Struthio camelus: one gene and its partners. The protein of the gene in region 3 purifies or fractionates together with the protein of the main gene of each other region. This does not show direct contact. Links are inferred from orthologs where the notes say so. Each region holds a gene or a part of one and is shown on either strand. Other genes may lie near its edges. The genes, in order: ASB7, TULP4, RNF7 and RAB40B.

Region 1 (7,703 bases), on a different chromosome or scaffold from region 3:
AGCACCATTTATAAAGCTCATTTCATTCAACAGTCTCCAGAAGACTTAAATTTGCTCTGTATATTTTTTTTTAAATACTGTGTAAGAGTCTGAGAGGACAAAATTCATTAGATGACTTCAGCGGATAAAGCAACAGTTTTGCTCTCTGATAGTATCATTCTGTAAGCAAATTCTGGAACAACGGAAAACAGACTCTCAGTACATTTTCTTTAAGGGTTCAGAATTCACTGTAAGAAAAAAAAAAGAAAACAACAAAATGAGCATATAGCCTAAAGATAAAAGCAAAGTCTGGATGTGCAACTTTATCTAAGGGGATAGCTATACTTGCAACGTGCTGCATTTCCTCCAGAGAGGAAGAGCAGGCCTTCAGCACATCATTTACCTTTGTTCCCCGTTTTAACCATGCATACATGTCTGCCAGAAGCTAGTTCTCCAGTTCCTGTAAACTCAGTTTCAGTTTCTGCTTCTGGATCAAACTTCACTGCATTGGCATTTCACATTAAGGAGCTTCACAAAATCAAGTGAACAGTTGCATTTCATTCCGTGAATAAATTCTAAACATCCAAGGATTTATCAGCACCAGAGGTGTCCTGTTTGAGTAGCTACAGTAATGCAAGCTTCTATGGTTAGATGCACAGGATGGGTTGTAAGGAGAGCTATAATAAACCAGCTTCACATGAAATAGGGGTGACGTAACTGCATTGAAAAGTTTGCACTAACGTACATTCATCTTGCCTATTATATCGTTACCAAAAATCTCTCCTGCAATTACACTGGACACGTTCACACGCTCCAGTCTTACACATGTGTTTTTATAATAAGCTATCAAAATAACCGGAATATTTCATCACTGTATCTTTAAAATGCCTCTCCAAGCTTGTGGCTTGCGTTACCAGGAAATGTCCTACTTAATCTTTGAAGTTTAACAGCTACTCTTCGCCATACCCTGAAGATACCTATATTAGAGAAATGATCCATCCTTGACCAAGGTTGTTGACAACAGGTACTGCTCTTTCCCCTGCAACTAATGCTAAAAAAATAATTTACCGTAGACAATGAAAAACATTATGCTACAGTCAATGACATCTCTGAAAACATGACAAAGACAAATAGGATGTATACTGAGGATATATTTGCCAAAGTAACACAGGCTCATCTACATTTGAAATGGATTTAAATGGGTTCAGTACAGACTTTACATGAAAAGAATGAGCAGAAACTCCATTACTCGGAGCGTACTAAGAGCAGGACGCAGAAATAGGCTGATAGACATCTTGAGTGAATCTTCTTACCACATAGAACATGCAATTTGCCCTATGAACTCTTCTTCCCCTGAAACTCAACCCTTCTCATTTTAGCAGTAGCATTCCATTTTTGATATCATGTTTCATATTTTAAAGTATCTAACAGTATTATCTTCTTCTGTGATGTCAACACAAAAAGCTGGCACTTGTAAGCCAACACCCACCCAACTAAATGAGTGTCAATTTTTGCAGCTGAGTTACAACACAACGCAAAGAGCCCCTGATACATGCAAAAGTTAGATATACCTGAACCAACATAATGCAATTACCGTGGCCTACCCCAATAATGATTTTAGGCTCAGAGCAGTTACTAGAAGTCATGTGTCATACCATAAACCAGTGAAAAGGCTATAAGAAAAGACCCTTTTAACTACCCAGAGTAAAGTAATTTTAAATGACATTCCTGAAATGAGGAACCACAAAAAAACATTATGCAGCAAATCATAAAGAAAATAACGTCTGTAGATTAAATTTAGAAAATGAACAGAACAAGAGAGAGGAACAGAACTTCAGCTGGCCTTTAAAGCTTTTGAACTTTTAAAGCACAAAAGCAAGTAGTTTTAAGAGAGGAAAGAAATCTAATGCTACCTATTCAAATCTATCAAAAACATTCACAACAAGAGGCCCCAAAGCCAACCAAACCACATGTCTAGGATGATTTTGGAGAGTCTACATGAATTATCACCTTTTTTTTATTTTTTTGAGTGCTGCTTTCTCTCTTCTGTCTTATTTTGTTCTTCAGAGATGCAATTTTTAATTCTTCTTTAAGGCAGCTTAAATCTAAAGAAAAAAAAAGAAAAAGAAAAAAAAAGGAGCACTAAACCATGTAATGACATAAGACAGAGAAATGGAGAGTAAAAATAGTTAATACCAAAGCAATAACGGGTTGGAACAGGAAAATTCTTCAAAATTTAGGAAGGAAAGGGTTATTTACCCAAACCGGGACCTCAATTTGAAAAGAGGAGCGCTCTCTCAGGACACCCAAGAGTTGGAAGGCCCACAACAGCAGGACTGCTAGCCCTGTCAAGCCCAAGTCTCAAGGGAATTGGAGTAAAAGGTAAGCGTTAGAGAATGGGACAGGAAGTAACCCGCAAAGCAGAGCTGCTGGGAAATCCAGTCGCTCCCTTGCAGTTAGTAACTGCCTCAGGACCCGTCCAGCGCACGGAGAGAGCTGGGCGAGCCGCAGCGCGGGGCTCCGGGGCCTGGCAGCGGGGCGGGGGGGGGGGGGGGCGAGCCCGGGGCGGGGGGGAGGGAAGCTGGGGGCGCCGGGTCCGGAGGGCCCGGCGGCAGAGTGCAGTAGGGGGCGGGCCCCCCCCCCCGGGAGCACGGCGGGGGCAAGCCCAGGGCCGGGCGGGGTGGGGGGGGGCGAGCAGCCCTCTGCCCCCCCCACCGCGGGGGGAGAGGGCTGAGCGCCCCCTCCTTGACGGGGCGGCGGGGGCGAGGAGCGGAGCCGCCCCCCCCCCCCCGCCGACGAGGGGCTTCCCGGGAGCGGCGCAGCGAGGCCCCGCCGCGGGCCAGGGGGTCGCGTCCCCCCCTCCCTTCCCCGCCCCGCCGGGGTGTGGGGGGGGGGGAAGGCTCAAAGCGGACGCAGCTTTTCCCCCCCCCCTCCTCCCCCCCGCGGCCGTTACCTGTCTGCCGCCGCGCGGGGGGGGGGGGGGGGGCGGCGCGCGCCCGCTGCCTGCGCAGCCGCCCCCCGCTCTGGCGGCGGCGGCGGGAGCGGCGGAGCCGGGCGCGGAGGGGGCCGAGCCGTGTGGGGACACTTTGCACCGAGCCGCCCCCCGCGGCTCGCGGCGGGGTCAGCGGGCAGGGACTGACCTCCGCCTCAGCCAATCCGCTGCCGCCGAGCTGGGCCCGCCCCCTGCCGTGCGCCGCCGCCGCCTCGGGTTGGGCGCCGGGCTGACGGCGGCTCCGCCCACCGCTCCTCCCCCTTGCCGTAAAGGCGCTGGGGAGGGGGGGTAGGGTTTTGCGACAGAGAAAAGCCGGGGCGGGGGTGGAAAAGGAGAAGGCTATGGCAGCGCCGGCGTTTAGACGGAGGAGAATTGGGCCTTACCGCGCCCTGTCTCCAGGGGGCGGGTGACTCGGAGCGGTTGCCTAGCAGCAGGGAGAAAGTAGTGGGGGGGATCCGTATGCGCGGCGGCTCGGGGTGACTAAGCGGGGCCGCGCGCGCTGCCAGGTGAGGGGAGGGGGAGCGAGGGGCGGAGCCTGGGTGGGGGAGGGCGGGGGCGCGCCCTTGTGGGGGGGGGAAGTTTGGGGTGGGGCCTGGACTGCGGAGGGCCGAGGGGGCGCGAGGCCGAGGCGGGCCGGGCCGGGCCGGGCCGAGCCGAGGGGCGCGAGGCTGAGGAGGCGCGAGGTCCAGCCCCCCTCAGCTGAGGGGGCTCGGAGCCGGCCTGGGCGAGCTGAAGGGTCGCCGGGCCGGGCCAGGCCGGTTGAGGCTGCGGGGGAGCCGCTGAGGGGAAGAACGGTGCGGGGAGCTCCAGGGCCGCCTGGGCCGAGGGGCCGCCTGGCTGAGGGAGCAGGCCTGCGGGCCGGGGCTCCTGTCGCTGGTGGTGAGAGCGCCGGGCCAGGCCCTGCCTGCCGGCCCCCGAGGCACTGGGTTACCCGCCCGGCCTTGCTCCTTGTGCCGGCTCCTTTGGGGCAGTGAGTAGCCTGCTCTCACCTCTCTTCCCTGTCAGACTGCAGAGTGGCTTTTAGCCAAGTGTTGCTACTCCTAACCCGCCGGAGGCAGCAGTGCTAGAGGTACAGTAAGGGTCCGGTGACGTCTGATCAGGCCTCTCTGGTCCTGTGTGCTGCAGTGGGTAAAGGTGCCTGCTCAAGAGCAGGTTAAGCACCTAGCGTGCTTAGGTGTCAGAGTTAACTGTCTGGAAATGGACAGCTCACGGTAGAGGTTGTTTGCAGCCTCTGGAAGGAAATGATACTTCAGAGGCGATTATAGTATTTCAGCACTGAGCAGAAGCATATTCTTTAATGAGCGATGAACCTACAAAGTCACTGTAGGTACAAGTAGATCAAAGTATGTTTTCTCTGTTTTTTACCCATCGTGTCATACGGTGATCCAGCGCCTCCAAGCTCTTACCTGTTAAGTCATGCACCATGACGGCATTCTCTGGTTTTATTTTATGACGATAGTTTTTCTCCCGGTTGCTATTTCTGTGATAACATTTAATGGTATATGCAGCAGGGAAAGACTTATGCAGTGTAGGGATTTGACAAGATTTTCCTTTCATAATGCCTGTTCTTCACTGATACCTTTGAGTAATCATAGTGTGTTATTGTAAGCCATTCATGTTAGTAAAAAATAAGAAAGTAGATGCAGCTATCATATTTCAAAAGTTTTATTTTTTTCCAGTCAAACCAATGATTTATGTGAATTCAGGCTAAATTAAGCCTCTCACCCTGGAGAAATACCCTGATTTTATAATTCTATTTTAGGACATTCTGGGGGCATTTGCAACCACTTAAACTTTACTTATTTGGTTTATGTTGATCCTTAAACCAGGCTTCAGCTGCCATCTGAGCTTTCATTTCTATTCCATTATTTCCTTTTCCATCAAATTTCTTCTCTCCTTGCTATCTGCAGCTCCACGTGACTTTGTTTTTGATTTTAAAGCCTAACTAAAATAGACATGAAAATAATGTATAGCAAAATATTTATTCTCTTTTTACTGTATGGTTTTCCTTCCTGCCTGATCTGTCTGTATCTTAGCTCTTTAGAACTGCTCTCTGTTGTTTGTGCAAGTGTCTGGCACTGTGGAGCCTTATCTTCATTGCTTTTTAGATGCTGTCATGAATAACACAAATAAATAATACAAGGAAGGGCTGGAGTTTGTCATTTCTTGTTTCTGGGTATGATTGCTTTTTTTACTCTTTAGCTTTGTGCTTTTCACTGTGCTCTCTCTTACTATGTCTGAAACAAATTTAGTCGTTTGACATTCCCCCCCTCTTTCAAGTAAATGTCTTTAATTAGTAAATTTAATTAATAAATTTCTATATACAAAACAACACCCACTCCCAACTTGGCAGTAGATAAAGATAATGCTTTTCTTTTAATAAAAGGGTTCTGGGTAGATAATGTGTTAAAACTGTCCTGAAAAGACTGATATTACAGACTAGCATTACTCTTTAAGATTAACATGGTTTCTTTTTCAGCTGTATTAAGTATATTGTTGTTGTCTTCTGGTTTTTATCTATTTTTTGTTTTCTATCTAGCCGCTTTTATAATGACTGGAAATATGTAGGTGCTTAGCTACTCACACTTGAAAGCAGAGAGAGCAAGATTTTTCTTGAAAGGTTTTCATTTTAAGCTGTCCTGAGTCTTCTCATGCTATTCCAAAATGTTCCATTGACTTTGTGATCAAAGATTTTTCTGTTCTTTAACTTTTCTGAATGTGGTTAAATATTTTTACTGGCTTTCAACACTTTGTTTTTTTAAGTAATTTCTAATTTTAAATGTCTCAGTCACTGGTCCCTTGAGCCTACAGGCCTGTAGCATTGTTGGTCTTGTGCATCTCTTCTGGGTTACAAGATTTAGGGGCTCAGAACGAGAGTTCTGCAGGCGTAGATGTAAAGGAGTTCTGTTAAGTGTTTCGTTCCGTCCTCCTTACTAAATTAAGAGCCCAGTTCTTCCCTCCAGCATATTCATGTTACTCACCTTGAGTCTACGTGCAGCAGAATAGAAGATTTGTTCTTTAGTCTCCATTTGTTGTTTCTTGAGAAGTGTTGCTCTGCACAATCTTAGTGGAGCAATAAACATTGCCTGTTCAAATAAAAATTTGTTTTTGGAGGAATCCCAAAAAAGAAATGAGGTTTCGGAAGCTGTAGCTATGTAAAGATAGAGGAAGGCTTGATCACAATTTTCTTGTGGTCTTAGATGAAGTCCCTAATAGTAGTCATTCTTGTTTGCATTAGGCCCAGCAAATCAGTCTTAGTTTCAGTAGTATCGTACTTGGGACTATAAACTTCTTCACTACATGGTCATTCTTGTAAAGTTACGCCATTTAAATGTCCCATTGGGAAAAAAATTATGCAACTATTAGTTTATCACTCTTGCTATTTAAAAACATAGCGTATATTTTCACGTGATGTTTAGTAAGGGTAGTATTAACTCTAAAAATGTATGTAGTTCTTCTGCATCTTCCTGCTTATCTATTAAATTCAGTAACAATGGAATATTTATTTCTAGGTATCTTAGAAGAGAAATGCCTAATAGTGCTTCTGTTTCTCTTACTGGATAAAAATAACTTCAAAACAAATTTGCAGTGACCAGGAATAATCAGTGGAGACATAAGACGTTCTCCAGAATATTTATTGTTCTCATTATGGAGATGTCTCTGCTACAGCAGATGTATAAGGATGTACTGGTAGGCATTCCACTAGCAAAGGAGAGCCGTCATTATACCTCTTTCCTCAATCTGTGCACTGAACAGTCACCAGAAAGAGATGAATCGTGTAATCGGATGCATCTGCCGTCTGCTAATAGTGGTATTAGGAGCCATCAAGACCCTGATATTTCAGACACCGTTGTCCTTGTAACAGATGATGTATCTAATAACTTTGCAAATATGAACTCCTCGTTGTGTCCACGAGAAGTGATGCTGCTTCAGTTAACCTTGATCAAGATGATGGTGGCTAAAGTACAGTCCCAGGAAATTGAATTCGATGCAAGACGGAAGTACTGTGATATCTTTGTCCTCCTTCTGAAGGAGACAAAAATCGACTCAAAACTGGTAAGCTTTTACAAACTTTTGGAAGATTTTTATGAAAGGGAAAAAGGGAATATAACTTAGATACTTTATTCTTTTCACATGTCTGCAGATTTGTCTCCTCAGTAGTTCTGATCAGCTGTTATCTCACATGGCGTCAAGAAGTTTAGCGTCTCTTGTGTATTTCCAGCTGAAGGAAGAGGTGAGTGTGAGTATAACCTTCCACAACTTAGAAACGATGAGTTAGTGAATGTATGCCTTCAGGTTCTTCTATTTGACTCTAGAGCCGCCTTTTTGTAGTGCTTATATGGCACAAAAGCAGGGACTACATGACTACAGTAAAATCTATAAGTGCTTCTTAAGATGTGCATTCTGCGATTAGACCCATGGAGAGACATTAGGACTGCTCCTTTGCTGCATCTGTTGCCTGCGTGTCTATTATGCTCTAACTTTCTGAAAGGCAGATCTACAGTCTGTTGGTGTTCAGCATGAAATATATGTTAGTTCCCTCAAAATGTCATGCAGTTCTGTTGAGCTGTCTTTAGACCCAGCATCAGGAACAAGGTGAAAGCTATACAAAATAATGCTATATGATAGTTCTCCCTTAAAGAGCATCTTAAGGGGTTTGGGGTCAGGAACGATTGATAGGAAGGATATGTAATAAATATTCCAAGAGATTTTTTTTCAAGTGTGTTAGGAG
Region 2 (7,807 bases), on a different chromosome or scaffold from region 3:
CAGTCAAAAAATGAAATGCAAGATTCCAAATCACTAGCTATGATCAGCTCTGCAACGTGGAAGAGTGAAAGTGAATGAAACCAAGGAGATACGAGGATGTCTGGCCATACAAATAACTCATTCAAAATCCCCCTCCTTTTTTTTTTTTTTTCCCCCCCCTAATAAATATCAACAGACATCTGTACAAACTCTCTTAGCAGCCACGCTCCTTGGTAACTGAACTGGAGGGCATGTACCATTGTTACTTCAATCACCTGAACAGAGGCCTGTCCTGAATCATTCTCTAACTCATCAATGAATTGGGTTAAGTCTTCAGCAGGGTCCCTTCTGCCATTAAGCAGAGACTTTGTTCTACCTAACAAAGCGCAAGCTTAGCTTCCAATCTGACTATGGAAGGTACAATATAAAATGACCTCATGCATCATTAAACAAAACTAAAATTTTGTAACACAAACCTGTACTAAACAGAAATATGACTTTGTGTTTTTACCATAAGGATGGAAGTCAAACATCTGATCTTATTGTTAGGCCCTTTTATACAGAGTTTCTTATATTGATCACAGGCAGACAATGACCGAATAATTATATAAACACGTGCACTGACACATCTTAGAAGAACTATAACTTTTTTAGAGGATAGTTATAAACAAAACCAATTTTACTTGAAAGTTCAGCTGAATCAAATATTATTTTGTGATTAAAATATGATTTAATGGGCTAATGGGAATTACATTGCAACAATTTCCTTGGTGTAAGTTTACGAGGAAACCATTTAAAAATCTATGCATTAACTTACTGAAAAAGATGAATACTTTAGATTGTCCATAATGTGCTCAGTATAGTTCACAAACTGAGCAGATTTTTTTTTTTAAAGAATAGTTGCATATTTTGTAAGGGTCTTACAATAAACATCCATTGTGGAATTCATTCCCATGTAGTCAATCTGTTGCTAGAAGTGACAAGAAGTACTATATTAAAAAAAAAAAAAAGTCTTTCCCTGAAACTCATTCACAACAACTATAGCTGTCAGTTTTCTAAGCTGTTTTTAATCTTTTAAATATCTATCTATCTATATACACATATCAACCTACTACCTCCTTTCAGTCCAAAAACTGACAACGACCTCCTAATTAAGGCTCCATCCAGGGAGGAAATACTCAGACTTTTTTAACAGCAGTTCTGCTTTGCTTGACATTCATATTGCCTATGAAAAACGTGGCAAACTCTGGCAAACTTTCCTTATAAGAGCAATTTAGTTAACTTCATGTCAGCAGCTCCTATTTCTTGAAAACAGATATCTTAAGTTCTAAGTCTCAAATTTTACAACCTATCTGTAAAGCCATTAGGAAACAATTTTATTCTTTACAGCTCCCATATAGGCCAAAAACTCAGATGTACATGCCTCTTACCTAACCTATTTAAAAACACAGTATGTTGCTGATGAAGCAGTAATCCTTGGACAGGCAAATTCCACCCTGGCAAAATGGAAGTGCCTACAGGAATTGCCTGACTGCAATTATATTTTTAAAGACGCAAAGAAAGATTTTTTTCTATTCAGAGACTTCTGTCTATTTGTTTTTTGAAAGCACGTAAATCTAAGTACTGGAAGAAAAAAAAAGCTCTTAAATACTTAAACATCACATCTAACATAGGAAGTCCCTTGACCTCAAACTGCTGGAGACCTGGCTGGTTTCCCAAAGCTTCACTACATGATCACCCGGTTGTTATACTGTTTCCTAGGCATCTGCTATTTGGCACTTTCAGAAACAGGATATGGCGCTAGACGGACCTTCAATCTGGCCCCATAAAGGTGTTTCCACTGTATGTGTCAATGTGTAATTCAAAATTAAGTACTGAACTGGTAAATGATTTCTGCACTTTTTAGCCAGCCTCTAGCAAGCCAGGGCGCTCAAACACGTACACATGTGGACGTTTATGGAAACGCATGATGTAAAGGCACAACACAAAAGAACGTAAAGGAGTTACATTTGCTAGGCAAATTTTACAATACCACCGGGTAAATTTCCAAGCCGTCTTCCCTCCCCCTCCGGAGGAGGAAAGAGGAGGGAGGAGGCAAAAAGGGAAAAATAAGATTAGCAGCGACACAGACAGTGCGCGGAGGGTCACAGGTGATGCAGGAGGCAGCCTGGCGCTCCCGGACCCGCCGACCCGCACCAGACCCCAACGGCCGCCGCCCGCCCCGCCCCGGACCCCAACGGCCGCCGCCGCCACCGCCCCGCCCCGGACCCCAACGGCCGCCGCCCGCCCCGCTCCGCGCCGGGGGAGGCAGCAGCCGGAGGAAGAGGAATCTCCCCATCCCAGCACCCAGATTTCGGTGCATCCCGAACTACAGGAAGAAAGGAAAAATCAGGTTTCCTAGCCAATCGCCTGTCCTTTAGTTTTTGAGACTGGCTGGGGGAGGGAGGGGAAAAGAAAAAAGGGGGAGGGGGGGCTGTGGCTCTCTGCCCAGGTCGCTGTGAATGAGGCACGCCGGAGCAACGGCTAAATAAAGGATGTATATACGTTCAGAAGGTGTTCTGTAACCACAGCACAAAATGGACTTCTTTCCCAGCGGCTGGCGCTCTTTCTCTCTCTCTCTCACACGCACAGGTGCCCCACCGGAACAAAAGAAAAACAGCCCCGGAGCCGCCGCGGCCCCGCAGAGCGCCCAGCCGGCCCACGGCCGCGGCCCCCTCACCTGCGGCCCGGCCGCCACACCCTGCTCCGGGCACAAGGGGAACGGGGCACCCCCCACCCGCCCCACCGCTGTTGCCCTGCACCGCACGCCGCCGCCGGCTCTCCCCGCACTCACCTCGGCGGGACGCGGCGGCCTCCCCTACGCCCGCCCGGCTCCGCGCGCCTCTCCCTCCCCCGCCCGCCCGCCCGCCCGCCCGGCTCCGTCTCTCACCGCTACCGGAGCGCCGGCGGCCGCTGCTGCTGCTGCTGCCGCTGCTGGGCCCGACTCCTCTTCCACGTGACCCCGCCACGTGACCACCACACTTCCCCGGGCCTGGGCCAGGCCCCGCCCCCGCCGCCTCCCGCCCGTGCGCGCACCCTGCGCCGCCGCCGCCGCCGCCGCCCCTGGCTGCGGGCCGCAGCCCGCTGGTAGGGCCCGGGCAGCGCGGCGGCGGCCTGGCGTCGTCAGCGCAGCCTGGAGACACATCTGACGCCCCCTCGCGTCCGCGTCGCCCCCCAAGCCCGCTACTTTTTTCCCTGAGAAACCACGAGAGAGCGGTTTGGAAAGCCAAGGTTATAGATCGTATTGGGCCTTAGTTGATACCAAAGCACTTAAAATTTGCTTTTCTCTGCTACCTGCTGAGCTAAGAAAGAGGGAAGGAAAAAAGTTGGTGCCCGGAGCTGGGACGTTAAGTCAAATAACATGTCTCACAGTGCTCTTGGGGAAAAAACAAAGGCACTGGCAGCACCACAGCCCTAGACGTTGACATAAACCAAAAGCCACAGCGAGCGAGAAGTAACCACGCTGGCTAGCAAGCGGGACGAGCAAACCCATGCTGAAGGTAACCTCTGCTCACAGAAAATAAAAGCCTGCCATAAGAGACCGAGGGGATGTCTGGTGAGAGAGAGCGCAGTTATCCTTGACGTTTGGCAGTTCAACATACAGCGCAGCCACATCAACGCTACAAAGCCAGGGGGCTCAGTAAGGAGAGATTTGCATTGCAAACACTTCAACTCTTCTCTGGTGGCACGTTCAGTTCATATTGCATTTCTTCAGAAAGGAGCAATAAGAGGCCAAAACACAAAAAGTGCTCAACTTAGTAATTTAAGGAAAGCAGAAACACATCATAATTATCAGCTCTAAAAAGGCCATCTAAACAACAGCACAGCAGCACGAAATTAAAAGGCCCAGTCCGCTACTATTTTTGGCAATGCCAACTTATTGACCATTTCAAAAACTGAAAAGGTAAAAAGGTAAATATTTTTCACTATATTCCCACACATCTATTCCCCAAAGCTTTGTAAGGATTTCATCTTGCAACTTTAGCAAGAGGAGGCCAAGTTGTGCCATAGGACCAGCTACATCTGTGAAAGCCTGAAAGACTGAAGCCTAGGATGCTATGTGTTAGAACTAAGCATGGATTTTTTATGCTGGTTTATCTACTTCTCATTAAGAAAAAAACTTGCTTCTTTTATTTAAAATTTTCAGGGTAAAGCCTTGGTCATCTCTGAACATGCGATAATAGTCCTGTAGCTAAAGTGCAATAAAATGGTTATCAAGGAGTTAGGGCCCCATTTCTGAGCATGTCACAACAGTCACTTTCAACCTGTGGTCCATGGAGAACACAGTTCCTGAACTACCTCCAGGATATCCGCAAATATTAACAACAACAACAAAAAAAGCTGCCTTATTGGCAGACTTAAATTTGTTATACTGGGATCCCTTCTGCAGTGGAAAATTGAGGGGCCAAAGCAGTTAAAACCACTGTGTCACTGAATTCTTTTATCATATTGTGTATTTAACTTAAGCCATCTGTGTCTTAGCTCAATTCCTAATTTATAGGCTATCATAAGGATTAACATTTGATAGTAGAGCAAAAAGCACAACAGAAATTTTTCCAAAGCAATAACAACTATAGTTCTAACCCAATTCGTAATCCTGTCCTCTCCACACTTAGCACAGTAGTCTCATTGTGCTGCCTATTAGTCCCTTTCCTCACCTGTAACAGAAGTCTTTAGTAGCTGGGTTCACAAGAAAAACCTACTCCTGATAATTGTTCACCAGCCTATACAAACTGTGATCATGACTTTTTGAGAGTCACCTTGCAACAGTCCTACCCATCCTGCAATCTACTACATGCTGAAGGAAAATACACAGGAAGAACTATCTTATCAGCCCTGGCGCTCATTCTATTAGCATAAAACATTCTTTTCCAAAAAACAAATTCATCATATAAATTCACACAGACACACAAGAGTCTCTGGAACTAGAATGGGATACTTCAGACTATATTTAAACCTTGCAACATGGGAACAACCCCTATCTTTTGCCTCTGCATGTGTGAATCAATAAGTCCTGATTTCACATCAGGATGAGACTACAGCACTAGTTCTTCACCCATATACAGAAAGGGAGTAACAGCATGCTCAGATCACAGCCTCTATTATTTATAGCAGTATCATATGCTCTTTTAAGTCCATCCCACAGAACATTGCTGCTCTATAAATGCAAAGGCATATCATAATTGGGGAAAATACCTCTACTGCACTGTATCAGGCTTGTGCAACTTCTATTTTGTACTTATTCTGTGGCTACACTTAAAGGCACGTATTCCTAGGATAGTCAGGCTGTCCAGCATTTTAATATCCTCTTAATTCACACTCCAAAATATTTTAAAGTAAAAAAATATGCAAAATCCAGAGAAACCTTGAAGGGGAGAGAGCCCTTTCCTTCACTACGTTCTAATCATCCTCTTCCTCTCATGTAATCATCTTGACCTAAAGAGGCAATTTGTTGTATTATTGGCTAACAGCATAAACATTTGCATGGTGCAACTGCAGCATTCAACTTACCTGAAGTAGTACAAGCAAATGAAAAGCTTACTCTAAATTTGTGCCATCAAAATCTTCATATCATACAGTATTCTTAGTTTTATTATGATGCATAATAAAAACTCCACATTTTTGTAAAGTTGTGTTTTTATTCACTTCTTAGTATTGTTGATCTAAAGAAAGGCTTAGTTATGGTCCATCTAAATTGATGGGATAATAAAAGATCAGTAAATAAAGTGCACAGAAAAGTTTGTAAATTCATTTTTACTATTGGAATATTCTGAATTTAAGGTCAAAGGCAATAAGATATGTGCCTTTTCAAAAGGAACTCAGCTCTGTTCAGTTAAATTATAGCCAGGGCTATGGTTTTATGTCTCATCCAGCTGTTACAGTAAGTAGCTCCTCCCAAATCTGTCCATTTCTATAAACCATTAATCCCATATTCACAGCCGTTCCTTCTAAGGAATCCCAGGCTGGCCTCTTTTCCAGGAAGATTTTCTTATAATACCTCATACTCTTTAAAGGCAGACACCTTTGCAGTAACTAATTATGGCGATTCAGGAAGGCAGATGGCAAATCTCACTTTGCCTATGAACAATTACATGAACTATTTTTGAATGTGGAAATTTAAAAAAAATACACACACACACACACACACACAAGGAAACGATGTTTTTAACTCCCTTTCCCTAGTCTGCCCAACCAGAACATCTAATTTTTTTTTCTCTCCAGATAAGATATTCACTCTCCCTTTCTCATTAAATATTTTCATTTCAGACATGGATTTTCTTTTCTATCTCATTCAACTTCTCATCATTTCTTCCCCATTCACAAGCTCACTCTCTTTATACTCGTTTATGCTCATTTATAGAACTTGGGTGTCTTGAGGCAAAAACTAAAACACAGGACCTACTTGCCTTCCAAATACAAGCAACTACAAAGCACTAGAAAAAGAACAAAACAGTGATTTCTGCAGGCATCATCCTTCTGAAATTGGTGTGCTGATAGCTCTCTATATAGTCTTTATATGTAAAGTCAAGGGTTTCTTTTTTTTAATCAGACAATCACTTCCTAAAAGCATTCCAGATGCTCCATCAGAAAGGAGAAGCATACCCTGAAAATCAGAGGTAGCCATTAAGTTCCTTTTCAATTCCTTAGTTTAATTTTTTTTTTAATGTCTCTTTTGGGGATGTAGCTCTTCATGTTCAAACTCATTCCAAGGATAGTTTCTTTCAAAGGTGGAGATCTATTAAGTCCAGATAACTAAGGGTGGAAAAAGCAAAACAAAAAAAAGGTCTTGAGTTATCCAAGGGAAAAAAGTGACCTGTTTCTACAGTAAAAAATATTCTTACCTCTTGCAGGTGCAACTCAAAAAGCAGGTAAGGGAAATAAGTTCAACACTGGCATATAGTTAAGTCCACACTGAAGCCTTGTTGTTATAAAAACTCATCAATAACTTAGAGTTGAACAAACTAAATATGCCTAAGTATTTGCAGGACTGACATCTTCGCCTTAAAAGTTCGCCGTGACTTTCTGTAAACGGGCAACACAAGAAATGACTTGACACTGTTTCAGTTTCAAACAGAGTTACAAAGGGAAATCCTATTTGTACTTTTCATTGCTTTGATGCAATATTTAAGACCTGCATTTTTTGTTGTCGTTGGCCAATGACCTTTGGGAGGACTGCACTGGTATTGCAGTTTTACAGCTTGTGAGCTGGGCTTCCCAACCCTTAGTAAAAAGCGTATGGAAGGTTGACTGAGCTCAGGGCAAGATTTTGATATGAGTTACTTAGAAACATAGACCAAACTCTGTAGAAAGTCAATTAATAATTACAGGTTTCTGAGAGGGCAAAATTATCCAGTCTCAGCTGCCTCTGGCAGGCAGTACTAGATGAGTTTCCTCTCATGTCCCACCCCTACTAGCCACAGGGTCCAGGAGGGAATTCCGGTATGTTTGCCTAGATAGAGATTCCTTTTGAACTCAGAGTCCCTCAGTGGTACTGTTCTTCAAGGCACTGAAATTTAGCCTTTTCATTCAGTTTATTTCCATTACAAGCTGTTAAAGTTAGTTAAATGGGATGACAAAAATAATCAAGTAAAAATTGTTAAAGGATTCCCAGTTTCACTGATCTGCTCTACTAACACCCAAGAAGCCTTCACCTCAAGTTAAGGTATGAAATTAATCCCCTCTAGTTTTCCAGTCCTACAGAGGGTTTTTCAGCAAAGACAGGGAAACTGAGAAATACCTAGAATACCTCAAAGTAAGAAAAAAAAAGAAAGAAAAAAATTGCTAGATC
Region 3 (7,097 bases):
TTTCACTGCTAATGTAAATTTTGGCCCATACACAGTGAGCGTATGAGTAGATGAGGTGAGAGGAGGCTAGTCAGGACATAAAAAGGAGGTAACACTTAATTTTTTTTATTTGGAAAAAATAGTTTTAAAACTCATCTCCTTCACGCTAATTATTGAAAGCAATGTCTCCTGCTGTGTCCCTCTCTCTGTCTCTCTTTCCCCTGCCCTATATGAAAGGACATCTCAGGCTTTCTGAACCAATTCAGAACTGTATCTCTGTTGAACTGGAGGCTCAGGAAAGGAATTGGTAGTGCCTCATGGCCCCTTATATGAAGGGGAGAGGTGCAAAGACCAGAGGAAGGGATCGTAATTGTTTTTGCTGACCACCTTTGGTATTTTACTGACTTCAGACTGTTTTTCTATCCCTGGCGTGTCAGCAACAGAGCAGTTCCCGTTGTTCCCACTTGTTGCTGTCTCTCCCTTCAGCTGCAGTGCACCCTGCACAGTTGTGCAGGAAAAGCTGCTTATAGCACTGTGAAATTAAGAAATCCAGGAACAGTTACAGGTTAAAACTTGCATTGCCCAATTATTAAAAAGTGTATTTTATATTTGCATTTGCAAAATGCATGACAAATGTGCTACATCTTGATGGCATCCAAATATAATTACATTTTGTCTTATAGGTTGTTCTAATGAGTTTTTACAACTGAAGAGGAGAATTGCATCTAGTTTCCCTCTCACCTCTGATAAGAACAATTAAAGACAAATGATATTTTTTGGAAAAGAATTATGTATCTGGGAATTCACCTAAGCAATCCAGCTAATCATGTAAGTTTAAAAAAAATAGGGAGAGAGGCAGCTGATACTCTACAAAGCAGAAATAATGTGCTTCAATTTCAGAAAATTTTTACTTTCCAAACATATGTTCAAAATTCAAGGATCCAGTTAAAATTATTAAACACCCATGTGAAAAGGTATAAGAAGACATATCATCAGAGACAGGAAAATTACATATACATTTTCTTTTCAAATTTCAAAATTTGTTTTTAAACTTTTCTAGATCATGCCTAGTCCCACTAATTCAGATTCACAAGTGCCATAACAGTTTAACAGGGGAGGGAGGAATATGATCAGGTACAAAGAATTGAATCTAAGAAGTACAAGTGTGTGACTACAGTAGTTGTTACAACCTTGTCGTTGATCTTTTCTAATATTCTCTTTCCTGATGCAGTAAAAATATGATAGCTGCTAAGAGCCTGTTGAGAGACCTTGTGGTAAGATAGGTCAGCAGGGAGAGAGAGAGAGAAGCAGTTTTGCATCTAAATATTTTCACTGTAGGTTAATTGTATTTCTCTCTGATTGGGAAATAGAGATTGGGGTTTTTTTGGTGCGTAATCTATAGTCCAGTTTATCCTCAGACTCTGCTATACAGCATAATGATGCTGCAGCTTGAGTCTCTCACAGCTACATATGGTGGGTCCTCCCAAGTTTACAGATCTCTCAACTCTGGCTGAGCCAGAGGCTCAGTGCCATCAAGCCAGTAATGTTCTTTCCCTGGCTGCCGACTATGAATTTGGGAATTGGACAGTGTGGATTGAGAGCAGTGTGAACCAGCTAAGATAGGAGCAAAGTATCTTTTTTTTTTTCACCTGATGTTCAGTGGTGAAAATTTTTTATTTCTATTCACACTTACTTCACGGCACTTGGAAAGCTGGATAGGTGTACCACTTACTCCAGAAATAATTCATTCTGAGCATGGCCCACAGAATGACTTGGAAATGATTTCCTTCTCAGCAACTTGAACTCCCTTGTTTTATGCTATACTGAGAAAGCAAAAAGAAGTCTTTGTTTAGCGTGCCGGAGTAGTGTGAGTTTTAACATTGCATAACTGAAGGTAAGAACAGTTCTGATTTAGAGCCTCAATTATGAGTTTTACAAATAAAAGTTTTCAAGTTCCTGAAGGTGAAGAAAATAAGGGATTGATTATGGATCATAAAATTCAGGTAATCTAGCCAAAACTGCTTTTTCTTAAATTAACTTTTATAAAGTGCATATTTAATTAAAACGATATACAGCATTATAGTCATATTTTGTCAGAGTGAGAATCCATGTTTAAAAGATCATAAAAGCTACGTGCTTAGAATTTAGGATGAGAATATAGGTTTTTTTTTTTTTTAATATTATTGTTACTATTACTTACTGTATTGTTCCAGTGTCAGAAGAGGGGCTGAAACTTATCAGATTTCCTCTGGTAGTAATTTTTTCAATTGGTAGTGTAGGAAAATGGTAGAAATGTATTATGCTCCAGTTACCCTTTCCTCATGGGGGTTATTCCCAGCTGTTATGGCCCTAAACTGTTCTTAAAATTTAGTAAAACCGAGCAGTCCATCTTAGTAGAACTGTTTAAGTCTCAACCACTTCCTGAACCAGCTATGGAAACTGTTTCTGGCAAACTGTTCCTTACTGCACCTTTTTCCAAAGAAACACAACCTGTGCTCTCCTAGAAAAGCAGCTACCTCTCTCCCTTCTCTCTACTCAAGCGGATATGAGAAGTCTTAGCTCCAGCTCGGGTTTTCTTGCTGGTTTGTCAGCCCACCCCTGGTCAGAACTAGGGACAGAGAAGACTTTTTCCTTTAGTTTTTTTGTTCTGTGGACAAGCTGAGGTGAATCAGTATTGTCCATCCACATCTGCAATGTCTCACTGTTGATCTTTCACATTCAAGCTGTGCTATGGGATATGGGAGTGTTTTATGGTATACCTCCACAGAAACGTCCTAAACGACATATAAAAGTAAATGCTACATACATATGTAAAGCTGCTGAGAAAATTATTTGGTTTTTTGGTTTTGTTTTTTTTTTTTAAATGGGGATTTTCTGTTTGCTTCATGCATTTAACGTTTGGAAAACTGTTTAATAATTCTGGGCCCCACACTAACAGCCTCGCAAACTTTAAAACAGAAATTGAAACTGGTCTTTCTTCAAATAATTACTTTCTCCTTATGCAATTTATAATAATCAGATATTCAAACCCAACTTGCCCTACTTATACAAGTGGAATCACTTGGAGTGATGGGAGTACTCTAAGGTTTCCTCTGCTTCGTTGTATTCGGTGTCCCAGCTGGCATGAGAGGGCTGGGAGGGCTCCAACAAATAGGTTCTTTGTAATTAAGCAGGATCACTGATGTAGTGAAATGCAGCTCCCTGGGGTTTCTGTCTCCTGTGATGTTAGTGAACCATCGGGGACGTGATAGCCTGATAATATTGAGGACAGTAGACCAGAAATTTTTAACTAGATAAATGCACTAAACTAATCCAATCCCTGTTGAATCAGGATTTTGATGATGTTACTGCTCCAGAGAACAGGAGAGAATGGAAGTAGGTGGAATTTCATTTTCAGTCCTGTTATGCTACCTTCGTACCTGTTGGACGGCGGAGGCTTGTACCGTTTCTTTGGGTATAAGAGAGAGACACCCTTTGTGTCTCCTTTGTGCTGCCAAAGATTTTGTCCTTAAAATCTTTGTTTTCATCTGACGCTTAAAATAATTTAAAGCATAATTTCCTTTAAATGCATACTATTAATATAACACATTATTTTAGTGTAACTCCATGACATTGTATCTTATTGGAACAGATTGTAAGTGTTGTGGTTCTTAAACGCAGCCTAATCAAGTACTCTGAAGTTAGCACGACGCCCCAGCTGGCAATACGCTCGGAGAACTTTGTGCAGCCGACGCACTGGAAGCTCTTGAGAAGAGGAAAAGAAAGGTACGCTGTTTCTAACTTTTGCTTGTAAAATTTAAATTACTCCCGTTAATTTGTTTGTCCTCATGTTAACTATAGCAGTCTGTCTTTTCAACTTGTGCATGAATTTCGACATTAACAAATTTACATTAAACTTCAAAGTAGGCTTAAGGAGATGGGGCGCTATTTTGGAAGAATGAGTTTTATATACTTTTTTTTTTTTTTGGATTAAGGTGAGGAAAGGAATCCAAATTCCTCTTTTCTTTTAAAATAATTATGGGTATTGCTTGCCTTGGTCTTATCCAAGGGAGCTGGGGCCAGACCCCGGCCCGGCCCCGACACCCCTCACGGAGCCGCCCGGCCCGGCCCTTCCTCCGGCCGCGGGGTGGCGCTGCGGCCCCGCTCCGCCGCCCGCCGCCCCGCCCCTCCGCCATGGCCGATGTGGAGGACGGGGACGAGCCCGGGGCCTCCCACTCACACCCGGGCTCCTCGGGCTCCAAGGCGGGCGCCGCCGACAAGATGTTCTCGCTGAAGAAGTGGAACGCGGTGGCCATGTGGAGCTGGGACGTGGAGTGCGACACCTGCGCCATTTGCCGCGTGCAGGTCATGGGTAAGCGCCGCCCGGCAGGCCCGGCCCGGCCCGCCATGGCCGCCGCCCCCGCCGCGGGGGAGGTGTCGCCGGCGGCGGCTCCCGCCCCGCCCGGCCGCCGCGCCGCTTCCCCTCGCGGCGGGGGCGGGCGGGCAGACGCGGGGGGCGGCCTCCCGCCCCCCCCGCCCCCCCCCGGCCGCTTCTCGTCCGTTGGCGAGCGCGGCCCGGCCGGGTTACGGCCGAGCGGGCAGACGCGCGGCGCCCGTCTTTCTGAAGAAGCGGTAGCGGAGGGACGGCGGCGCGCTCGTAGCCGCGCGCACCGTCGCTGAGAAGCGCAGCGAAAAACAACGGCGTCGCTTACCTGGCGTTGAGGAGACTCTCTCCGGGTGCAGCCCTCCTCACTGGCTGGCCTTCGTGCTTTCTGACCGCTTTGGGTCTTTGGAAATTCCGTAAATTCCTCTTCCGCTGTGTCTCTGTATCCGCCCTGGCCTCTGTGCTGAGTCATCCCCGACATAACTGCCCGGGAGCCCCTGGGTGGGTCGGCAGCGCGGGGCTGCGCTCGGCGCGACGGGTCGCCTGAGGTCCTGCCGCGCCAGCCCGCTCTGGCCTTAACCTTTGGTCCCGCTTGGGGACGCGGCAGGTGCCGGGCAGCCACTTCTCAGATCCGTGTTTTTACGGAGAAGGGTCGTTGGAACAGAAAAAGCACGCAGGTGTCCTGCAGGAAAGACACAGCCCAGACTGAGGCGGTGGGAGACCGGCCTTTTCTCTGAGCGTATCTTGAAGTTGTTCCAGGCCTGCTCTCAGGTGGTGAATGGAGACCAGCCCAGAACTATGAAATTGGCTTTATCTGCTAAAAGTAAACCGTAATTTTAGGAGTGAATTTGCCTGTTCCAGCTGTTACTGCTACTCTATGATTTATGAGAAAACAGAACTGCTGGAGAGGCAACTTCACTTGATTACTCAGGACTGTTACAAAAACAATCATTCCACTTAAAGGGAAGTGTAAAAAGTCCTCAAAAAGTCATCCAGATGTTTTACGAAAACTTTTAAAAGTGGCTATCGGCTTTCTCTGATGATTTCAGATGAAAAATACTCCCTTGGTCTAATTATGAAAAATTATAAATGAACAATTTTTAAATTTAGCACAAACCAGATTTTTTGAATGTGAAACTTTATTATTACCACCTTTAGCAATTTAATGTTGACCCCTGCCAGACCTGGTCTGGCTGCTGTAGATCCAGCGCATCTGCAGTAGCCTTAGGTTGGAGGCTGAGCAAGACTTGAGCTGGCTCTGCATATCTGAGGTTGGTTTGCCTTTTTTTTTTGCAGGGGAAGGAAATGTGAGCTGGCTTAATTTTCTTTACTGGTTTAACTCCTTGAACCAACTTGGGCTTCAAGGATCACAGAAGCACGAGGGGAAAGAAGCAGCAATGCAGAGGCGTTGTCTGGAAAGGGCAGGATTGCAGCAGTACTGACTTAATTTATTTAACCTTTCACAGACTAACACCCTTAGGATTGTGATGCAGGAGTTGGGGGGCAGCTTATGTTGGTACAGGTGTAGTGATTTGTGTCCTCAGCTGTCCGTGCTGCTTCTTTGTCTGAAACAAACCCAGAGCTGGAATAGGTAAGCTTCTTTTACAGCAGCTACTAGCCCACCGCAGCTTACTACCCAGCATACTGATGCGACTCCAGATCAGTTTATTTTGATGTGCCCTGCTGTAAACTGAAGCAGTTTGGCTGAATCTTCACTGCAGTTTGACCCCTAGATGCTATGGAATTATCATAATAGAAAACAAGAAACTTTACTTACTGCCTTTCTTTCATCTTCGTGAGGAAAGGACAAATACTTAAAAGTTTGGATGCTCTTCCTTCTGTATTAGCTGAAAAAGGAGGACTATCTGGCAGGTCAATCTGAAATAGAAGCACCTTGCAGTATCTGGTAGAGAAAGAAGAAATACTCGGACTGAAAGTCCTGTGTTATGTCAGTTCTGTATGTTGTAGAACAATGTTCCAGCTGTTGACCTGCAGGCCCAGTCCAGCCTCTGGGATGCTTTTGTCTAAACGATTACCTCTCCTTTGCAGGAGATGAAGATGTGTTTGCACTGTGTATGCTGCCATAATAGTTGAACGCTTTGCTGTGCACGATCTGTGCATGCGTGTCTGTGGCAGTCCAAGTTGGAGCAAAGGAGAAATGAAGGCATGCTTCCTCTGTATTTGTGTGGCCCGGTACAAAGCCTGGAAGTTGTCCCTAGTACATCTGTAATCCTGAATCTGTCATCTAGACCTGTAGGCACAGAGACTGGAGCGTACAAAGAAGATAAATATTTTTAGTTAGATGTTTTCCCCATTTATCTCCTCATTTATGCTATCAGACTGATCAGTGTTTAAAAATAGTTTGTGTGCATATGTCAGTATTGCAAAAATTACAAGCAGGTATCCTTTAAGGAAAACAAACATTTAAAAAAATGGTAGTAGTAGGTGGGGGTGAGGTGGGAGATGTAGAGGCTAAAGACCATCAAATTTTTGAATGACTTCCTTAAAAGGAGATGTTGGCATCTGAAAAACAAAGCCCTGTAATTAGGGTTTGGCTATGCGCTTGCTCTGGTCTTGGTATGTGCGAGTGCCTTGGCACAAATCTGGCTGTCATATCTGCAAAATGGAGAATACTTTTTTCAGCAGAAGTTGTGAAAATACTGAAGCAATGGAAAATAAACAAAAGTTGTTGAACAGTTTGTAGTCCTTCTGATCTCTTGCAGATACGTATTTCCTTGTGTCGTGTGCACTCTTT
Region 4 (7,970 bases), on a different chromosome or scaffold from region 3:
TTAGTTAAAAAAGTGCCTGTGAAAAATAAATTTGTGATTTATAACCAAAACATTTCAGATGAGACAGTAATACTGCTGCACACAAAGCCTTCAGATGGCTTTTTGTTCCCCCTTTTAAAAACCTGTTCTAGTCAGCTTCAGGTTTTACTTTATGTTCATCCTCTTTGTCTTCTCAACTATCTTTGACCCTGCTGAAGACAGCAAACAAAGAAATAAAAATACCCCTTGATAGTTATTTGCTGATGAATCTTTCCTCACTTAGCCTTTCTTCTGCCTCTCTTCATATTTGTGGGGGTTCATTTAGATTCTCCTTTTCAAGGAGTCAAAAACCGTTCAATACCTCGACCTTTCCTATAATTCCTCTACAAATACTCTGTCCCTCTACTTTTTAGAGCACTGACAGAGCATCTTCCTGCTACCTCCTGTTGTTTAGCACAGGAAAGAACGCTATCGCTACCAAAGCTGAATTCTAACTTTTCTTCCTCAACTCTAATGATGCTGTTGCCCTTCCTGAAACCCATCCCTGTAACTTTAAGGCAGTCTTTCCATTCTGTCTACAGAATTGGTAACAATAATCTTTTCTCTCTGAACATTTACAGTCCTTTTCCAAGGCCTCATCTTTCCTTCATCATGACCACCCTTGGCAACGCATTCTTTCCAACCTTCTCACCATTCATATTGCCACCTGCCATCTACTCAATGTCAACAGCTAGAAGAGCCTCTTTCCTGTTGGTATAAGCGTCAAATTCTGTCTCTCTTGCACGTGCAAATTTAAACAAAAAACTGTCTGAATTCCCTTGCTTCACCACATTAAGTCAATTTGTTTGTTCTCCTTTTCGAGGCTCTTCAGAACTCTGCCTCTCTCTTCTCAAATGCTCTTGTCTCTTACCCTATCACATCTCCTTTTTCATTGTGTTCACAAAGCCATTCCCATCCATCAAGCTCTATAACAAAGTTCTTGTTACTTCTAAGCCTATACACGTGGCACATTTTGACTGGATCTATCAGACCACTATCCTTTCTCTTTCCAATTCAGAGACCTAGTCAGCATTATGAAAGTGGTAGAAGTCAGCCAGTTAACTAAGGACTTGAAGAGGGAAAAAAAGAAAAGATCCACCCACAACACCAAACTCTATCAAGCTGTTCAATCAAATTAAATTACAAAGTGAGTCATAACACCAACAGGATGTTTAGTTTAGTTTTCATGAAGAAAAGATGAATTAAGAGAGAGAAAATAATTTATATGAGCTTTCACAACTAAAATTAGAAATTACTAAGTAACACTGGACAGTATGTTACAGTCGTGTAAAAGCTGAAGCTCAAAACGTACAGAAGTTCTTAATAATAACACCAGTTGCACAAAACGTGAAGTCAGATTATATTCCTTTCCTGTTTTACTACACCATCTGTTTTAGCTCCCCTTCTCTTCTAACTCATTTCTTCATATCCCTCTCTTCGAACATGCTTCTCATCTCCCTTCACACTCTGAAACAATGGCCTTTGCATTGCTCAGTTTACTTACTACTCTGTGTTTTTTACTACTATCCTATATATTTTAGAAGTTACTAAGAGAGATGAAGAATCTCCAAGCTGTATATTACATACTTGCAAAGTAAGTTCCGAAAGAATATTTCTATTTCTTCGCTGTCGAGAAATCTATTTAGAAACATAGTGTTAGGCACACAATTTAAATAAAGTTTAAGACCAATACACAAGCATCACAAGGTTTACATGCAAATGTCTGAAGCAAGACTGATGAGCTTGGGAGGTGCTCAAACATTCCCCCTCAGTTACATCAAGACACATCGGAGACTAAAGTGTTCTTTTGGCATAAGAATTTATAAACTACGTTGTGCATGCAGAACAGGGCCAGACTGGGCACGCTCTCCCCAAGCCTTCCTTCCCTTTCCTCCTACCACTTCACGATGGCCCAGCAGGAAGAGTAAAGAGACTGCTACCTCCCAAGGACTAGTTTAGCAAAGCTATTGAGCAAACATCCTAAAAAGCACATCAATACCTTCACGATACCGTCTGACTCATAAGCAACCATACAAATAATGCTCCTTGCCCCCTCCGCCTCACTTTTTTGCCTTGAATACGTACCAAGAGCTCAACATAATAACAGAACCTAAGCCACCGTAAAGCCTTTCAGTGAATTAATTGGACACTTTTACTGGCAGTAATTTAAAGCAATGGGTAATTTTACAGGATAACTTGCCTTTTAATATGCTGCATTACAAATGCGCACAAAGAGGAAAAACGTGAAACTAGGGCTGTGCTCTAGCAAAAGGAGATGGGGGAGTAAAAAGGATGAGGAAGGGGCAGAAGAAGAGAAGTCTCCTTTTCCCCAAGCCACCAGCGTAGTTTCAAGTCAGCCTGCGACGTCCACCGCTCTGTATCTCGCAGGCAGAACGTATCTGCCATGGACGCGGCTCTCCAGGCTCGAGCTTTAAAACGCCCAAGTGAAAGGACGAACTGCAAACGCGAACCTTGATCTTAAAGGGCTCCTCTTCTGATATGAAAAACACGAGAGTTAAAAAAAGGAAAAAAGGGAAGGAAAAAAAAAATTCTTCTTTTCTACTCTTCCAGTGAAACCGGACAGCGAAACATCGCGCGGCGTTTGGCTGCCCGCGGCCCCTTCGCTCCGCCGGCCCCCGGGAGCTCCGCGCGCGAGGGGGGAACGGCAGCAGCGGCCGTTTCCGCGCGCGTCGCTCGGCTGCGGGCCCCGGTGCCCCGAGCCCGAGGGGCCGCGGGGGGGGGGGGGGGTCTCGGCTTACCCATGTGGTAGCCGTAGGGCGACTCGGCGGCGCCGTCCTGCAGGCTGGCCAGGATCTCGCCCTTGCCCACGTCGCTGTCCCCCACCAGCAGGAATTTCAGCAGGAAATCGTAGGCTTTCACCGGGCTTCCCGCGCGGCTCATCCTCCCCGCGGGCTGGGCTCGGCTCAGCTCCCGCCGCCCATGCCGGGGCCCGGCGGGCCGAGCTCACCGCGGCGGCGGGCGGCGGGCAGCGGCATGCCCGGCGGCCGCGGCGCGGGCGCTGCCGGGGCGCGGGCGGCGGGAGCCCGCCGTGTCAGCGGCGAGCGGCGGCAGCGCGCGTCATGTCGCCACGCAGCGAGCGGCTCCCCCGACGGAGGGCCCGACCTCCCCGCCCCGGGGCGAGCAGCAGGCGCTCGGCGTCGCTCCGTGCGGCCGCCGCCGCCCCGCTCCGCTCCCCCCGGGCTCACTCAGCGCGTCACGTCGCCGTCGCCGCCGCCGCCGCGCGCGCTGCCCCTCAGCCGACCGAGCGGCGCGGAGCCTGCCTCCGGCCACGGCGCGGTGACAGGCTCCGAGCCCCGCCCCCTCGCCCTCCTATTGGCCGATTGGCTGGCGCTCCCGCCCTCTCCAGCATTCATTGGTGCTCCGAGACATTATCCCCGCCCCCTCCCCTTCAAGGGAGGGCTGCGCTCCCACCGCTTTCGCTCATTGGTGTACCAAAAGGCACTAGCCCCGCCCTCCTCGGCTCCCATTGGAGGGAGGCAGACCTCGACCGCCCCCCTCCTCGTGTTTCCAGCGGGACACAGCGGCTCAGTTGCTAGGTGGCTCTAAGGTCGCCGTTGGTTCGCTCGCTCATCAATCACACTCGGTCTCGCCTCCCCGCTGGAACGGAGCTGTTTGCCCCGCTGCCGAGTCGCGGCGTGTTTACAAGGCAGCAGCGCGGGAGCCCGTGACGGAGCCGCGAGTTCGAGCCCAGCCCCTCCAGCGGGGCCCGACAGTAACTGCGGGGGTACCGCCCGCGGTAAAGCCGGCCGCTCTCCCACGCGTTTGCGGTAACTACCAAGTATGCATGCAAATGAACGCCCCTAGGACTCAAGTACAGCGGTGGGGCAATGGTGGTGGGAAGGCTTTGTGAAGTAGTGGCAGTTTATGGACAAGGACGAGCGTTCCTGGCTTTGCACCAGCACCCGCCCCAAGCAAGGTACCACACGTCGCCCTGCAGCAAGGGGACCCAAGCCATAGCTACAGGCTTTTAAAGTCATTCATTCTGTGGACTTCAGTCTTGCTTTTACGACATTTATAGCCTGAAGAGGCACATACTTTTGCCCTCAGATCCACATCAGTGTTGGCTGGTCTTGCCCTCTCCCGATCCTCATTCAAATATTACTGTAGAATCACACAGAAATCCATGAGAATGAGACTGGAATGGGATGTCAGCCAGCCTGAGCTTTCCTCCTGATCCTGCAATCCAGCCTGGTGATATATGCACATGAGAACAAAAGCCTATTGCCTTCCTTGATAATACTGCAAAGCATGTATTAAAAGCACTACATAGGAAGCTGAGGGAGAGGGGTCATCTTTGGAGTAAGTGCTCACCCTTCACATGCCATTAACAGCAAAATAAATTCAGCAGGTTTCTAGACTGAGCTGCATCAGTGCATCATATCCAAACCCAGGTGTCAGACCAGTAGGAAAAAAAAAAACCACCAGAAACCTACAAGCAAGAGAACAAAAGCTTACAGAAAAATCTCATTTTTTAAACTTTATCATAACACACATCTTTACTGCCTAAGCTCTGTGCAAAGCCCTTTACGACCTTCTTGTCAATTGCTTGTAGCATATCTGTCAGCAAATATAATTTAAAAATTTTCTTGGAAAAAATCTTTTTAACCCTCAGTGATTTCCAAATAGTGTCAAATTGGTGCAAAGTAAGTTTTTAAAAAGACAGAACCCCTCCCCTCCCCAACCAAAATAGAGCTGTATGCACCAAGTTCCAGTATACGTAAAAGTTACAGCTCCATGTAGGGTCTTAATGCCCTTGTTTTACTGAAGAAAAAAAAAAATCCACCCCACTTTGCCAAAGCACATCTAAGTCAGAAGAATCATATACACAGGGCTTACTCCGGATTATCTGCAGCCAGACGTAAGCCCTAAATTGAAAAAGGATCTACAACTATGCCTTACATTTCTACTCAAAATAAAAGAAAAACAAGTCCTTGACTAATAAAATCTATTTGCATGGGAATGATGCAATACTGGTCTACTGATTCTTAAAAAACAACAAAAAAACCCCCCCAAAACTCTTAACACGCCTATTTCAGGACTGCAAATAAAGCAGCAAGCTCAAGAATACTGCTATAGCATTCCTTAGTATTTTTAACACAGTGCGACCTGAAGAGTACGTACAAGATATCCTGTTCTGTTCCCCTATGGACACCAAAATACCACATTCCCAGCTTCAGACAGGCAAGTCTCTTTCTAGCATACTCATGCATCCAACAGTTACACCTCTTTATAATCCAGTCATCATTTATTGGAACCAAAGTCCTCTTGGAGGTGGGGAAGATAAATTTGCAACAATAAACTACAGTTTAAGGGCTTCTTTTACTGTAGAAGTTAGCATGCAACAGAATACTGCTTGAACTGTTACATACAGAGAGAGAGAGAAGTGTGCCTTTCTTCCAGATGCTTTATCTGTCAGAGCTGATTTTTCAGTTTTTACTTTGAGAGGGACTATGCAGTTGCAGTAGTCATTCGTACTTTTGCAGTGGAAGCAACGCTCTTGACAGTTGGAGGACAGCCCTGGGCATCAGGAAACTAGCGCTCTAACCCCAAGTCTAACGCAGCCCTCCTCTATGAATTTGGACAACTTCCTCAAATTCTTTATACCTCAGCTTTCCAGTCATATCAAAGCTATTTGCTATAAGCAAAAGAGCGTCATGGGATTTAAAGCACAAGTTTCAGTGGAGTCCTTTGAGATGTCACAAGAAAAACATTAAAGTGCAAACTAATCCTTCTATCTTGCTTTACTGAAATTCTATTTATTTGATTTTTCCAGCAGTTCACCAGGGAAGAGTGGAAAAAGAACCAAACCTTTTCATAACAAACTCGACAATTAGAAGCATTTGGTTTTTGTTAATCTGAAGAGTTACTTGCTTGTCAATTGTTTAAAAAAAAAAAAGTAGAAGTAATGCTTTTTCAGATATCTGTTTTGATGTCACAAGTGCTGGAACTCTGGCATGTTTCCACTTTCCCGAATATTTCCACTTATCTGACAATTACATGTAAACATGTTTAGAACACAAATCTGTGCCAAGCCCAGGTTTATTTTGAGGGAAGTTCACGGTTACACTTTATACAGGAACTAGTCAGCTAGAATACACCCACAAATCTTTAACCCATCACCTGTCTGAATAATACAAAGAATGCATTTACTAACCCACTTTCAAGCTTTAAGATATCCCTGTGAGAGGCAGGCTGAAAGTACTCGTTTTTTAAAGATTAAGAAATAATGATATGCATGTTACTCTTTTACCATGCCAAACAAAACTAGGCTAAACATAAGTCAGAGCTGTAAAATAAACAAATACATAAACAATAACAACAACTTCTTGATCAGGATGAAAAAAAAAAAAGACTCTCAAACTCTTGCATCCAAAGTGGCAGCTACATTTATTGGAAAAAAACCCACTTTAAAAAAAAAAATCCTTGCAAAGAGCATATTTTCTTCTCACTATTAAAATGACCCAAAAATGAACATCCTCCCAGAACTTCATGCTGAAAGGCAGAAACTTGGAAAGCAAAGAAACCCAGTGGTAATACGGCATACTTTGCATCTAAAAGAGAGACAGACAAACTCCAAACATTAAACTCTGAGGACAAAAAATTTCTCTGATTTTTCTCTCTGCAACAAATTAGGTAGATCAGGTCCTCTGCTTCAGTCTCACTTTTATTCAGATTTTGCCCCAAATTATGCCCCTGGAATCACTATGGTTACAGTGAAAAATTAATCCATGAAAGCATCAACTCTGCAAATAAACAGACATCAATGACACTGCTCCCAATGTCGTTGCATTATCAGACAAACGGCTAAACTCTGCTCTTAAGGCCTATCTCAGTTTGTTATTTTGATGATGATGCTTTTAATTCCATTTACATTTATCTGCTCATACAGCTGATCTGAAGAATTTTTGAAAACACATTTCCATCCCTTAGGGTGATTTATGTTTAAGAGAAAAACAAGCAGTAACAACAAATCTCCATCACTGTCATAATTATAAATCACCTCTTTCTGTAATGGAAGTTCCTACATCCTTCCCGAACCACCCTCTCAGCCTTTCCATTTTTTTTTTTTTTTTTTGGGGGGGGGGGGCAGGGGGGCAGAGAAGAGTCCATAGCCCTTTTGTCATATGTTCACACAAATAGAGGCTTGCAGCCTGAAAAGCCCTAATGCATATTTTCCATTTATAAATATATACCAACCCATAAAAGGCTGCACATACCAATTACCTTTTCTTTTCTTGTACATACTGTCAAGCAGTAAACAGAAATTAGCAGCTGCAGTGCTTTTTTATTCAGGAGGTGTGTATCAACGGATGACTCACCAAATAATTTGTAGCCCAGTATGCCAGTTGTCTTCTCCTCCACAGAAAGAAACACTATTTTAAACAGAAAGTTAACCACTGTGGATGCTGCAGGCAAGCCAACGGGTTTGGTGAAGCCCAGCAGCACAGAGGGAAGGGGATGGTCCCAGAAACATATTGCAAACACTTTTAAAAATACTCAAACGGAAACAAATGACACATGGAGCAAAAGAACAGAGGTGGGGAAGAAAAGATTATTGCAAAGTCAACCCACTCTGCCACACGGCCTTTTGTGGTATACACTGCCTTCATCTCAGCAGGCAAGACCTGCACTGCATTAACAACTTCAGTATATGGCTACGCTTTTTTCTGGAAGTACTTTCTGGAAGTACATTTGGGGCATGACTCAATAGTTTATTTCAAACAGGGGTCAGCAATTTATGGCACAGAGGCCAAAGATGGCAAGCAGCAGGCGTACTAAGGGCTTGGAGCAGGGACTCACAGCACACTGAAAAGAAAATCTGTGAGGCAGCAGCCCCCAAATCCTGGTTCTCACCGAATTCCAATATGCATAGGATTTGGGAGCCCGTGCCTCCTGCAAACAGATGCCCTGTAGCATCTTTGGGAAGGCAA

Evidence for each region.
Region 1: the proteins of RNF7 (region 3) and ASB7 purify together in Homo sapiens (co-immunoprecipitation; 4 studies listed by BioGRID and IntAct, with this or other methods). This does not show direct contact. The link is inferred for Struthio camelus from reciprocal best matches to the Homo sapiens genes RNF7 and ASB7.
Region 2: the proteins of RNF7 (region 3) and TULP4 purify together in Homo sapiens (co-immunoprecipitation; 3 studies listed by BioGRID and IntAct, with this or other methods). This does not show direct contact. The link is inferred for Struthio camelus from reciprocal best matches to the Homo sapiens genes RNF7 and TULP4.
Region 4: the proteins of RNF7 (region 3) and RAB40B purify together in Homo sapiens (affinity purification with mass spectrometry; 3 studies listed by BioGRID and IntAct, with this or other methods). This does not show direct contact. The link is inferred for Struthio camelus from reciprocal best matches to the Homo sapiens genes RNF7 and RAB40B.

The regions. Positions count from the first base shown.
Region 1 is NC_090953.1:4,621,735-4,629,437, forward strand, and holds the start of ASB7 (ankyrin repeat and SOCS box protein 7), read right to left. Parts: upstream 3,014-7,703; 5' UTR 2,933-3,013; intron 2,085-2,932; 5' UTR 1,990-2,084; intron 1-1,989. Other genes in the region: LINS1 (protein Lines homolog 1), read left to right, coding at 6,620-7,027, 7,116-7,205. UniProt on the Homo sapiens protein: Probable substrate-recognition component of a SCF-like ECS (Elongin-Cullin-SOCS-box protein) E3 ubiquitin-protein ligase complex which mediates the ubiquitination and subsequent proteasomal degradation of target proteins.
Region 2 is NC_090944.1:77,701,020-77,708,826, forward strand, and holds the start of TULP4 (tubby-related protein 4), read right to left. Parts: upstream 3,007-7,807; 5' UTR 2,909-3,006; intron 2,887-2,908; exon of another isoform or gene 2,813-2,886; intron 1-2,812. UniProt on the Homo sapiens protein: May be a substrate-recognition component of a SCF-like ECS (Elongin-Cullin-SOCS-box protein) E3 ubiquitin ligase complex which mediates the ubiquitination and subsequent proteasomal degradation of target proteins.
Region 3 is NC_090950.1:15,210,128-15,217,224, forward strand, and holds the start of RNF7 (RING-box protein 2), read left to right. Parts: upstream 1-4,097; 5' UTR 4,098-4,152; coding exon 4,153-4,330; intron 4,331-7,097. UniProt on the Homo sapiens protein: Catalytic component of multiple cullin-5-RING E3 ubiquitin-protein ligase complexes (ECS complexes), which mediate the ubiquitination and subsequent proteasomal degradation of target proteins.
Region 4 is NC_090960.1:10,853,291-10,861,260, reverse strand, and holds the start of RAB40B (ras-related protein Rab-40B), read right to left. Parts: upstream 3,013-7,970; 5' UTR 2,920-3,012; coding exon 2,778-2,919; intron 1-2,777. UniProt on the Homo sapiens protein: RAB40B small GTPase acts as substrate-recognition components of the ECS(RAB40B) E3 ubiquitin ligase complex which mediates the ubiquitination of target proteins.